Linked DNA regions of Medicago truncatula. The protein of the gene in region 2 binds, or shares a complex with, the protein of the main gene of each other region. Links are inferred from orthologs where the notes say so. Each region holds a gene or a part of one and is shown on either strand. Other genes may lie near its edges.

Evidence for each region. The genes of interacting proteins can lie anywhere in the genome.
Region 1: 50S ribosomal protein L6, chloroplastic (region 2) and 50S ribosomal protein 5, chloroplastic share a complex: the UniProt entries of both Arabidopsis thaliana proteins name them as parts of the 50S ribosomal subunit. The link is inferred for Medicago truncatula from reciprocal best matches to the Arabidopsis thaliana genes emb2394 and PSRP5.

What each region holds. Positions count from the first base shown.
Region 1 is NC_053048.1:41,272,771-41,278,719, forward strand, and holds 50S ribosomal protein 5, chloroplastic, read right to left. Parts: upstream 1,351-5,949; 5' UTR 1,267-1,350; coding exon 1,185-1,266; intron 1,072-1,184; coding exon 728-1,071; 3' UTR 527-727; downstream 1-526. Other genes in the region: protein ROOT PRIMORDIUM DEFECTIVE 1, read left to right, coding at 3,908-5,161.
Region 2 is NC_053047.1:21,810,663-21,817,918, forward strand, and holds the start of 50S ribosomal protein L6, chloroplastic, read left to right. Parts: upstream 1-4,253; 5' UTR 4,254-4,383; coding exon 4,384-4,418; intron 4,419-5,638; coding exon 5,639-5,947; intron 5,948-7,256. UniProt on the Arabidopsis thaliana protein: This protein binds directly to 23S ribosomal RNA and is located at the aminoacyl-tRNA binding site of the peptidyltransferase center.

The DNA of each region.
Region 1 (5,949 bases), on a different chromosome or scaffold from region 2:
GAGATGAATTTCAGGACAGTGAAGATAGAAATCCATAGGAGAAAAGATGAAAAATCTGAGAAAACTCGGAGAAAGATTTGATTGTTCTTGTTTGATGAATTAGAAATGTACTAGGAAGAGACATTTACAGTTGACACGACACAAATAATTTGAAAAAATGAATAATTGAATATAACCATATGTATCGGACACGGACACACGTGTTGAACACCGGACACACCTATAATGAGAAGTGTCGGTGCTAAACTATATAGATTCCAAATTAAACTCCTATTTCAATGAGAAACACTCATGGTTACGAGCAATGCACCGACGATAACCAACGAAAAGTGTTGACCAGCTAATTCACCCAAATACAGAGTTATATTTGCTCCACTCTTTGCACCTATTCATTTGTTGGTTTTCGTCGCTAAGCTCATCGTACCAAATAACACTCATCTTTCAATATTAACCAAAATGGGACTAAGTAAAAATATCCAAACACATGAATCATATCATTGATTCCAAATCAAACCATATTTAAATATTAACCAAATGTAAGGCATCTACATATAAACTAAAACCCTTGATTGAAAATGAACAAAAATTGTCAAAATACATACATGATACATTGTAGAATGATTAAGAAAATAACAAAAAATAAAAAACTAAATTGTTGAGAATAAGGGAAAGAATCAGAGGTACAATAAGAAGAAATCAGGATTAAACCTGCAAACAGATATAATCTTCAAACACTCTTCAATTTCTTCATCTTGGAAGGTGGCCAATTACCCTTCTTCCTCAACTTCCTCTTTTGAACAAGTCTCTTTCTCCTCAACCTTATCTTCTTATCAAGCTTCATCTTCAACCTCTTCTCCTCCCTCTCCTTCAATTTTGATTCCAAAGGAAGCTTATCTACAGAAACAGCATCACTCTCTTTCTTGCTTTCACTTTCAGACCCATCTGCAACATTGGATTCAGCAGTTGCAGATACAATAGAAATTGCATTTTTCCTTGGTTTCACGACAAAGGGTGTCGAGATTTGAAGCCCCTTCAATGAGTTTGTGGGTAAACCAACGTGCACTCTTGAAACTGATAAACAAAAACATAGTTCGAGAAAACTAAGATAAAAGAAACAACAAGAATAATAAAAACATGAGAATGTATTTTGGAGAAATTAAGGAAGAAGAAGTGATGGTACTTACTTGGGGTTGTGGTGGGAATTGGGAAAATGGAGGAAGAAGAAAGAGGTGTCAGCGTGAAGAGATTGGAGCATAGAAGTGCCATGGTGTTGTGTTTTTTTTTTTTGTTCAATTGAAGAATTTGAGAAAGATGAGAATTGATTTATGGATAAGAAGGCACAACATGTGTGACACACCACTTTTTGAGTTTATTAACTTTTTTGTTACCACTTTATATCACGGTTAAATATTAGGGGTTTTGTTTTTGAATGATAAAATATGGGTTTGAACATGACGAGTAAATAGTCAATTATCTTTCTGAAATTGTAAGTTTCGTCAATTATCCCCTTAAAATTAATAAAATATCAATTACCCTCCTGAAATTGCACAACGTTAATCAATTTACCCCCTCCGTCAAATTCTTCTGTCAGTGAACATAAAATTTTGCACATAAGTGTAAAACTCCAGGGGAGTATTTGCAAAACGTCATGTTTACTAACGAAAAAATTTGACGAAGAGGGTAAATTGATTAACGTTGTGCAATTTCAGGGGGGTAATTGACATTTTGTTAATTTTAGGGGGATAATTGATGAAACTTACAATTTCAGGGGGTAATTGACTATTTACTTGAACATTGATAGATTATCAACAATCAACATGTTTTTGGAAGAGTTTTTTACCCGAGCATTGCTATGCACTACGGGATAATTATTCACTGGATTTGACGAAACTCAAAAAACACTAACTATTCAAGGGTAAGGGTAAAGTGGTCATATAGAAATGGATTGAGGATAAAAATGTAAGGCTTAAATATGAAAATGGTTCCTGCAAATATCTGCCGTTTTGGTTTTAGCTCTTATAAAAATATTTTTTTGGTTTTAGTCTCTGCAAATATAGAATATTTGGTTTTTGTCTTTGGTATTTTGTTTTAATCGTTGTAAAATCATTTCATATTGAAATTGGTCTCTATAATATTCATTTTAGTCCTCATTTTGAGGGACTAAAATCAAATATTCTACATATTACAATGACCAAATCCAATATGAATCAATTTTACAAGGACTAAAACAAAATACCAAGGACCGAAACCAAATTTTTTATATTTGGAGGGACTAAAATCAAAAAAAATATTTTTATAGGGACTAAAACCAAAATATTTTTACAGGAACTAAAACCAAAATGTAATAACAAATTCACAGTAAGTGCATTCGTTGTTTTCCGTTTAACTGATTTCGTACTATTAAGCATTTCCGTTTTTACCCTCCTACAAGAAAATGAATCATTTCGAGAGTTGTTTATTTAAAAAATAGTTCTACATCCGATTTGATGATTAGTCTTATACTTCTATTAATACTAAAGGGTATAAATCTTTGTTGAATTTGGTGGAGAATATCAGGTGCATTCATTTGTGTGCGAGTTTCAATTGTTATTTTTTCACTTTGTTCTACTAAAAACATGTATTTATTTGACAATATTTGATTGATTTCACATGTAAGAAAAAATTACGTCGTGGGTATCTCAAAACTAAATTCTTCAATTTAAGTAAATACTCTTTACAATGTGAATGTGTATAAACTAAATCTTTATTTTTTTTTCGATAAAAACAATCTTGATACGTATCAATGTATGTTTTTGTTAACCAACTACAAGTAGAATATTTGATCTTCATGTCACGACTTAATCTCACGTCATGATCAACATATAGATTAACACTAATTCGTTATATACTTAACCTTATAAGCCTAATAATACACTATATAACACATGCACATTTTGAAAATACAGAGCTACTAAAGTTTGTATAAATCAAAGAAAAGAACAAATCCTATTCCTATGGTTGAATCATACTAAAACCCCAAAATAGAGGTCTACCATGCAAAAAAGAAAAAAACAATTGGAAAAAACTCACCTCCGACTCTCCCTATCTCGTGTTTCCTCTCTTTAGTAGCTCAATATGAGTGGCAAACTTTAACCTCGAACTCTAATTCTAAAAGCTTCCAAATTTTAATAGTCAAACTCCATCACACTACACTCTTCAAACTCTTCGCCAACGCTTCCAAATCACCACAAAGTTCCACAACTTCAAATCCTCTGTTATGAGCAATTTTTAGACCTTCAAACACCCTTGTAATTCTGCAGCAAACGCATTATATGCACCAACGAGTTTCGCAAATCCACAAATTCAGTTACCATCACTATCTCGAATCAAACCACCACAACCTAACCTTAAAACACAAGTAAATCATGAGATAAAACTAACTTTTATAAACTAAAAGAATATGTTCTCTCTTAAAACTCAAATGTAAACTTAAAAATATTATGAAATCAAACACACAAATTACGCGAGTCTCTCACCTCACAATTCTTATAGCTCTAAATACGCTTCTTCATAATAAATCTCAAATCTAGTACATTTTTTTAGTAGAACAAAATGAAAAAAATAACAATACACACAAATGAATGCACTTGAGTTTGAAATCTGACCACATTTGAGTTAAGACTTAGGATTTGTAACTAATCAACTAAATACTTCTTAAGATATCTTAAATTAAAAACTAGTCAGAAAAGGTATCAAATGTGTGTGTAAAAAAGTTTTACACGTTAAATTCTAGTACGTGCATAAACCCCTTCTTCTGTTATCCCACCGCGCCCTTCTCCTTTTCGCACCCCTCTAATCGATCTTCCTTTCATTCTCGTCTCTCTCTATCACAAACCTTTCCCTTCTAAACCTGCAACACATCAATGACATGAATCCATTATCAACCTTCAGATACAGAATCTTCCAAGCAACCACCACAATCTCATCATTCTCACCTTTTTTCCTCTTCAACCAAAAACGATGGAAAAAACCCACCATTTCAGCACAAACCCGTTTAGAAGACCGAATAAGAGACACCCACTTTGACAAATTAACAACCCACTTCAAAAAACTCAGCCTTGTTCTCAAAACCCGCAACCTCATATCAAATCGAAAACGTGGTTCTTTTGTCTCTCTTCAACTCATGTCACGCTGGAAAAACATTACAGGACTTAATGTCACTGTTACTTCCTTTCTTCAAAAATACCCTCATGTTTTTTATCTGTTTGTTCATCCTTTTAGGAGAAACATGTGCTGTAGAATGACGAAAAAGATGAAAGAGTTGATCTTGTTGGAAGAGGTTGTTGTGAGACAACATGAGGTTGAGGTTGTTAAAAGGGTGAAGAAGTTGCTTATGATGTCTGTGAATGGTACTCTTCATTTGCATGCTTTGAGGTTAATTAGAAGAGAATTGGGTCTTCCTTGTGATTTTAGAGAATCCATTCTTGGGAGATATAGTGATGAGTTTAGGTTGGTTGATTTGGAGATTGTGGCATTGGTTGGTTGGGACGATGAATTGGGAATGGCGCGTGTTGAGGAATGGAGGGAAAGAGAGTATAGAGAGAAATGGTTGAGTGAATTTGAGACCAAGTTTGCTTTTCCTATTAATTTTCCAACCGGGTTTAAGATTGAGAGAGGGTTTAGGGAAAAGTTGAAGGGTTGGCAAAGGCTATCATATACGAAGCCTTATGAGAGAAAAAATGTTAAGTGCGGTGGGGTTCAGAGGTATGAGAAGAGGGCTGTTGCTGTTCTTCATGAGCTGTTGAGCTTGACTGTGGAGAAAATGGTTGAGGTTGATCAATTGGCTCATTTTCGAAGGGATTTTGATATCGAAGTTAATGTGCGCGAGCTACTGTTAAGGCATCCGGGGATATTTTACATATCTACAAAGGGAAATGCTCAAACTGTTTTTCTTAGGGAGGCCTATGAGAAAGGCGGGTTGATTGAGCCTAATCCGGTGTATGAAGTTCGTAGGAATATGTTGGAGCTTGTGTTATTAGGACGCAGAAAAACCAAACAATTGTTAGCTTCTTGTGATGAATCCAAGGAAGAGAGCAATGCTGTAGTCTATGAAGTGGATGGGGAAATTAAAAGAGAAGGTGATTGGGTGATTCCATTCTTGGAGGCTAATGAGAAGAATTGATCCTCGTGATATTGTGAAGGTAGCAGAAAAAACATATTTGGAGAGTTTGCTAATTGGTGTTTCAGTTAACATAACGAGTACTCAGCAGCTGGTTCCCATCTCTATAAAATGCATGCTCAGGGGAAATAGTCAAGTGAGAATACAAGCAGGTAGTTTCATACTTTTGTTTTTCAGCTAATTCAACAATTTGCAGTTACATTTGACTGGTTTGTTGATTGTATCTAAATATAATCCTCATGGCACAAAATAATTACTATCATCAATATTTGTTAATGTGCATATGATATGACTCCAAATAGTACGTCATACCTTCCTGCGAACATGAATTTCCAATACAAGCTGGACTTGTCATTAGGTAAAACTAGATTCTTGTGATTGATTGAAATACAAAAGATGTTTATGTAACTGCCAATAATAAAAATCTGTATTTCAGTAGTTTCAAGGTTCTTCATTTTGAATCCTTGACTGGACTCCTACGCATATTTGAAGTGAACTAGTGGTTGCTTTGTGGTATTAAGAACTAGTGAATTATAAAAAAGAGGTGCAGTGTAGTAATGATTTCCTATTGATTGGTTCAAGGTGTAGCCTTATGATGTTGAAAGATTAAAGAATATGTGTTTGAAATTTACAGGTTCTAGATTACCCCCTTTTTTAAAATTAAGCTTGCTTACCTTGTTGTCTCAATTTGCTTGTAGCTATCAGAAAAAGTGTGTTCACTGTTTGTGTAATTGGATCTTCTTATTCTATATGTTAAATGCTCGTATTTCTTAGCCGAGATAAATTTTGGC
Region 2 (7,256 bases):
TCGGAAGTATGTTCCGGATCCATCTCATGTAATTCAGAGTGACGATGTGCAAGTTAGAGACAACCTTACGGTAGAAACTTTACCGTTAAGGATTGATGATCGTAAAGTGAAGACGTTGAGGGGCAAAGAGATACCTCTCGTGAGAGTCGTTTGGTCGGGAGCGACTGGTGAAAGCTTGACGTGGGAGCTTGAGAGTAAGATGCTGGAGTCGTATCCAGAGTTGTTTACTTGAGGTAAATTTTCGAGGACGAAAATCTTTTAAGTGGGGGAGAGTTGTAACGCCCACTTTCGTTTAATCGTTATTTAATCGAGTTTAGGCAATTATATTATAATTATATAATATATGCATGATTTTGATATGTTTTGATGATATGATGACGATTGGTACCACATGCATATAAGAAGTCTAAGAGCATTGTCACATTGTCATGATTAAGATGCCTTGTTGATGATGATTGATTATGTGATTACGTGATATGTGTTTATTGATTATGTTATGTTATTCCTAATGATTGGATATATGATTAAGTGATAACTGTTTAGCAATTATGCAAAGTTAGAAATAGAATGAATATGATGTTAATTTATGATTCTCAATTACATTGATTAATGTTATTGTATTATGAAATCTCACCCCTTCTGCTTGAAAATGTTGCCCTTCGTATGGGTAACTTGCAGGTGATCGTGCTTAGTGTGCAGTTGCCGTCGTGAGTGGCCTTGCCTTCACTGTGTCGTCTAGGTCGCTCTGATACGTAACGGGATGGGGTTATATGCTATAACATGGTTCATTCTCTTACGTGGATAATATGTTATTTTTATTAAGTTATGGAATATGAACTATTTTGATGGGGCCTACGTGCCAAACTGATTTATGATTTTTGAATTTAATATTCCGCTGCTATGTTAAAGATATTGTGAAGGTTAAATTATTATTTAACTGTTTTTGGATTACGTTTCTATGTGATATCCCGTTTGTGGTTTTTACTCTGATAAATGTTTATGAAATTTGTATATTGGGAAAACGGGGTGTTACAATATAGACTTGTCTTAGTCTAGGTCTTTTGTTTTGGATTATTGATATGATTGGAGATTTACCCGTATGTTGGGATTTGAGATTCATCCATGTTGATGTAATAATTGATTCATGACACGTATATTTGATGTACTCTGGTTTATATTCCGTTGCGATTGTTGAGATTTATATACATGTTTATTGGTTTTGAATTTTTGAATGATGACGTAGCCTCTATTTCTTGTAATTGTATTATTCTCATGTTTAATTGCTTTAATAGAAATATGAGTGTTACAAGCTTTACATAGATCTATAGAGCTACAGATTTCTACGAATTTCTGGCAACCTAGTGGCTACTAGGGGTGTAGTAAACTCAACCATCATGTTAAGTCCCTGAAGACTACCGATCATATTATAATCACATAATCTTAACATGCATCGTTGCTAGGTTAGGTCATCAACATTTTCCACTAAAGTATTATTCTACTGAGCCTTTGGCTTATGACAAGAGTCCTAGTTAGATCTTGACGTTTAAAGCCTTTTCCAAGTTCTAGTACTCATGCAAAGTAGTTTATCTTGATCCCTTAATCTCTCGATGCATAGGGACAAAATCATATCAAACAAACTTGTTCCATTCCAATAACCTCTTGGTTTCAGGGAACTATAACATTAAAAACAAAAGTAATCAAGTCTTGTTTTCAAAGATTTTGAATAAAAACAATTTGTTTGAAAAAAGCACGGAGCTATAGCTTTATAAATCTGAGAGTTGTCTAGTTCGAGTTAGGGCTGGCAATGAACCGAACCAACTCGATTATAGTTCGACATTCGACTCGATATCTAATCCTTTGAACTTGGTTCATGAACCTAACGAGCTGGACTTGAGCTGAAAATTAAGTTCGTTAATTAAATGAGCTGAACTTGAGCTACATATAATTCGACTCGTTAGGTTCATGAGATGGCTCGATTATTGATTATATATATAAATCAATTTGAGTTAGTTTTTAAAATTTTTTAATTCAAATGTGGCAAATGTGGCTGAATACAATTTTGTCTTGAAGGGAAGAGCAGTTGGAGTTTAAAAGTAAAAGAATATTATGAATTTTGTTCACAACTAATTAAATTTTGTTGGATTTTTTTGTCTCTGTTACTTGTATCAGATATTTTTCTTCGTATTTATGCAATCTTTAACTTTATATAATTTATGTCTATTATATGCATGTTTGTGGGAACTTTTATTTGAATTCAATATTTTATATATATATATATATATATATATATATATATATATATATATATATAAAATATCAAAGATCTATAAATTAATTTTTTTTTTTTATAATTTTTTTTGGACTAGTTGAGCAACCGAACTGAACCTAATGAGCCGAACCGAACTGTTCGTGAACTTTAAACGAGCCGAACTCGAGCTGAAAAAATAGTTCGTGTCGAACTCGAACCGAGTTTTGAGCCGAACCAATTCTTATCGAGTCGAGCCGAGCTCAAACAGATTCGGTTCGACTCGACTCATTTCCAGCCCTAGTTCGAGTGGAGTTTCATGGTTTCAAGGTTATTTTTCTGTTGTTATGATTTCATGACATTTTATCGAATCCTTTACCAAAATTGACTAAATTCATTCAAACTACCTAATTTAACTAAAATGACTCCAAGAATAGACTAAAAACGCTTTGTGATTTCTTGCCATCAAGTTAACATTGAAGGATATGGTGCTTTAACACACAAACGATGATTGCAATAGCAACTTCGATAACAACAACAAGAACATCTTTCAACATGATTATTTTCAATTTATAAGACAAGAGATATATATGTTATATGGATACATATTCTAAAGTCCAAGTATCTATTGTATCTCTTTGTCCTTGACATGATATCTCTGTGAAAAGCTCTGAAAGAATCATTTCTTTGTACTTTGAAGATCTTAATAGCTTCCGAGTCAAATAAAATATGGCCACATGATCTTCAATAATTGATCAATTAATGATGTATGCATGAACGAAGTGGACCATGCAGATGATCATTAGGACCCATCGATGTCTTGGAGTGCTCTGCACATATAATGAGTTTTGGTAATAATATGTTAACCAAAATAGTTGCTTGATTTCTTAAAATCTTAATCAACTTGTCTTGTGCTTGATGACCATTTGTCATTACCTTAAAGATAGTTGCACGTCTTTAATTTCTCTTATAATATCATGCATGATCATAGACATAGGTATATGACAAAGTGTTCCTTTATTATTAGTCTTGTTAGTGTCAAAACATAATACAAAGATGTTGTTATTTGAATATAAACGGTTCTATCACATTTTTCTTCCGATAGGATTCTGCTAGATTAGCAAAGTGAGGTTTTTAGAGTGTCAGACGAAACCTCTTTTTCTCTTAGCGAATTGCCAACTTATCCAAGTAGATTTAAACTGCCATAGTTTTATAGGCGACGTACTTCATTTGCGGGGATTTTTTCCCGGGATTCAAGACTTGAGTCTCTAACCGGAAGATTTTCCTTTGATCTTTCTGTTTTGGCCCCTTAACAAAATAAAATATAATCTAACTCTCCAAGTACTGTCCCTTTTGCAGTTTTGATCCCAGTCCAATTTTATCCAAGTCAATGCTGACGTGGACGCCACCGTATGTAATTTTTATTTTTTATTTATTTTTTAAAATATTTTTTATTTAAAAAAATAAAAAAACAATATTTTTTTTAACTTCCAAATTAAACCAAATTTATTTTGAGAATCATTAATACAATTGAAAAAAAAATAATCGAATATTAAAACTTTTAAAAAACCATAATCGATCCAAATAGTTAAATTGATCTGATCCATTAAACCGAACCGAATCACACTAACTGAACCAAATCATTTCAGTTTTTGATTGTTATTAACGATTAGGTTTTTTTTGGTTCAGTTCGGTTCAAAGTTTTGTTTTCACCCAAAATAAAAAAAGGAAAATGTTACATAGACACCCTTTATTTCCATACACCTTTGTACACCTTATATTCTAGGAAGAGAGAAGAGGAGAGGAAAGAGAAAATACCTTTATACACCTTATATTCTAGGAAGAGAGAAGAGGAAAGAGAAAATGTGCTTGTGCGGGGTCCATGTGACCACATGTCAGATTTTTGTGTGGATGTCGAGGGATGTATTGCAACCTATGTCTATGAATCATAACTCATAAAAAAATACAGAAGTATCAAAATCCGACAGTGTAACCAACCAATAAAAATCCAACAAACAGTAGTTACCGTTTTACCACCATCATACACACACACACACACAGTATAACCGAAGTAGATAACAGGATAAGGAACATTTTTGCAAACATTCGCAAAAAGCAAAGCCTTGTGGCTTGTAACAATGGCTTCTTCAGTTACCTCTTCGTTTCAACTAAGGTTCAAACAAACACCCTTAATTTCACTATTTCTCTTTCTCTTTCTCTTCTTTACTCTACTTGTTCAAATCTCATTCTTCATTCTCTTCAATTTGAACCATTTTAATCATATAAATAAGTTTCATTTCAAGTTTTTGTTCAATAATTGTTATATGGTGTTTAATTATTGAATGCAATGAAATAAAAAGTACCCTTTTTCTTAAAACACTTAAAGTTTTAAACTTTGAGAAAACCCAATATTTTTTAACTTTATAACTGTTTCAATTTGTGAATGTGGTTTTATTTTTCTGTATTCTTTCTTCAATTCTCAATTGGGTCAAAAGGGTTATAATTATTTGTCGTGTATGTTAAATTTGGTTGTAATGAATCATGATGATGTAGTTGAGGATGATAGTGTTGTAAATGTTTGACGAAATTCAATTAAATGGATGTTGCATTTAAGATGTTTGATGAAATGCTTGTTAGTAGTATAATTTTGTATTTCAGGAATAAATTACTTTGTATTTGTTTTTCACATAGTTAGTGAGGTGATTGTTAGCTTACAGAAAAGATAATTTCATCGAGTGTACTTTCTTGCTATGAAGCACAAATACTAATCGGATTAGACGTGTCCCGGTGTTGGATACGTATTGTGTCCGACACCAACACGACACCGACACATTATTACGTTGAATTATTTCATTTTCTTAAATTATTATCGATGTCCGTGTCTGAGTCTGTGTTTCATGGCTTTCTTAGTAGTAAAACAGGTAATTCTGGATAAAATTATTGTCGTGATTTTGGCAAAAGCTACATTTTGGAACTTCAACAAAATCATGTTGCGGCTGTGATTTCGTTAAGTTCAATGTGATACCAAACATGCTATATCAAAGAAAAGAACAATTGTTTTGGGAAATTGTTGTTTTGTTTGCTTTATTGGTTTCCTTTGCACAAAGATCTTCATGTGAGGCTTTTATTATGTTATAGTAGGATATTGAACATCATTTATCAAAATTGCATTTTTTAATGTTGACCTAAATCACTACGAACTGGAAAGTGGCTTCTAATTGAAGGATAAGATCTAGTTTACCAGGCCCTGTATCTGTTTTAGTCACTCATGAATTTTGGTTTTCTTAATCATTCTTTTATAATTTCTTAGTTACTTGAAAAATTGTTAGTTTCAAAGTAAATATTTTATAAATTCAAGCAGTCTCTCACTAATCATTTGCTTTCCTATTTCAGCAATTTTAAGTCATCTTTTGTTGGCGAGAGAAGTAGGATCAGAATTTCAAGTGCTCCTGCTACTCATGTTGGGTTCTTTAGAAAGACTACCGAATGTAAGGAATCACGTATTGGGAAACAACCAATTCCCGTTCCATCCAATGTAACCATCAAAATGGAAGGGCAATATTTCCATGCGAAAGGTCCTTTGGGAGAACTTTCATTAACTTATCCTCGAGAAGTTAAGGTTGAGAGGCAAGAAGAAGGGGTTTTAAAGGTCAGTAAGGCAGTTGAAACTAGAAGGGCGAATCAAATGCACGGGCTTTTCAGGTACTTCATTTTACTTAACTTTTTTAATTGTTTCATGATGTAGAAAAATAGATGTTGCCAATGAGGATTCACATTCTCTGCTGTAAAAAATATCAGTCAGGCAGTCAAACAAATCGTTTGAGTACATGTCGGAGATGAATAGTGGGTTTTCAGTCACTACGCTGTGGTTTGGGTTCAGAGTGAAAACATTGAAAAAGTTCAATCCGACTTAGGCTCAAACGGCTAATTTTAACTTGAGAGCATGAATGCAGGATTTCTCTGACTGCAGAGAATCAAAATCCTTGCCAATAATCATAGCATAACGATAGTTGTAAATTTATAACATTTGATTCATTCATTGGTGTTGCCTTTTCGAGTCGTGACAATGAAAACATTCAAGATATATGTTGTAGTTAGTATTTTGACAACAGTTGTATACTTAACACTGGAAGAAGTGATGCAGAATGGATGACCTTGTTAAGTTATTTTAAATTATGATAATTTATGGGTTTTTATGATAATTGTTATTGAGGGAAGTTTAGATGTTGACTCTATCTTTTACTAGACTTCCACCCGTGTTGCCGCACGGGTCATATACATTGGAAAAAATAATATTAAAATGCAATTTATCAACTACTTATGCAACTACATTAGTAGCCGTATTTATGCAATCACCGTACAATTTTTAACATTCTAGGCATATAGACTTTCTCCCCAATGTTGCTTCCTGATATTACCTTTCTTTCAAGAATATATCTACCCAAATTTGTAATTATCAACCGAGTACCATTACATAGGCTTGCAGTAAAGTCCAAATATCAACTCTCAATTTTAATTTGTGATCCGGAAGACTAAAAGAATTGTGTTAAAAAATTTAGACGATGAACATCATCGGCCTATTGACCATTGAGGTGTGAGCAAAGAGAATCGCAGCTTAAAAAATGGTTAATCAAACATAGAAACAACTCCAATGGAGCTACACTTGTATACTAACGTACATTAAAGTAACTTTAAAATACATGACACATACACTATTGCCATACTATATAACTCAAGAGAGGCTAAAAATCTATTTTGGTATGAGCTTTCTTATACTAAAATAAAAGCATCTCATTAGAATTTGTATTTGATTAGGATTATAGATACCACTTTGGCTACCTATGTTTTCCAGATTTGATATTGATTGAAACAAAATGCTGTCTCTGGAATGCCAAGTATTTAATGCTTGGGATTCTAGCGAATTCTTCTTATTGGAATTCTTGCTGCACGTGTTATTTTCCTAGCCTTTTCTACAAGTAGTTATTTTGAAGTTTTTCAGAAGGAGAAAGAA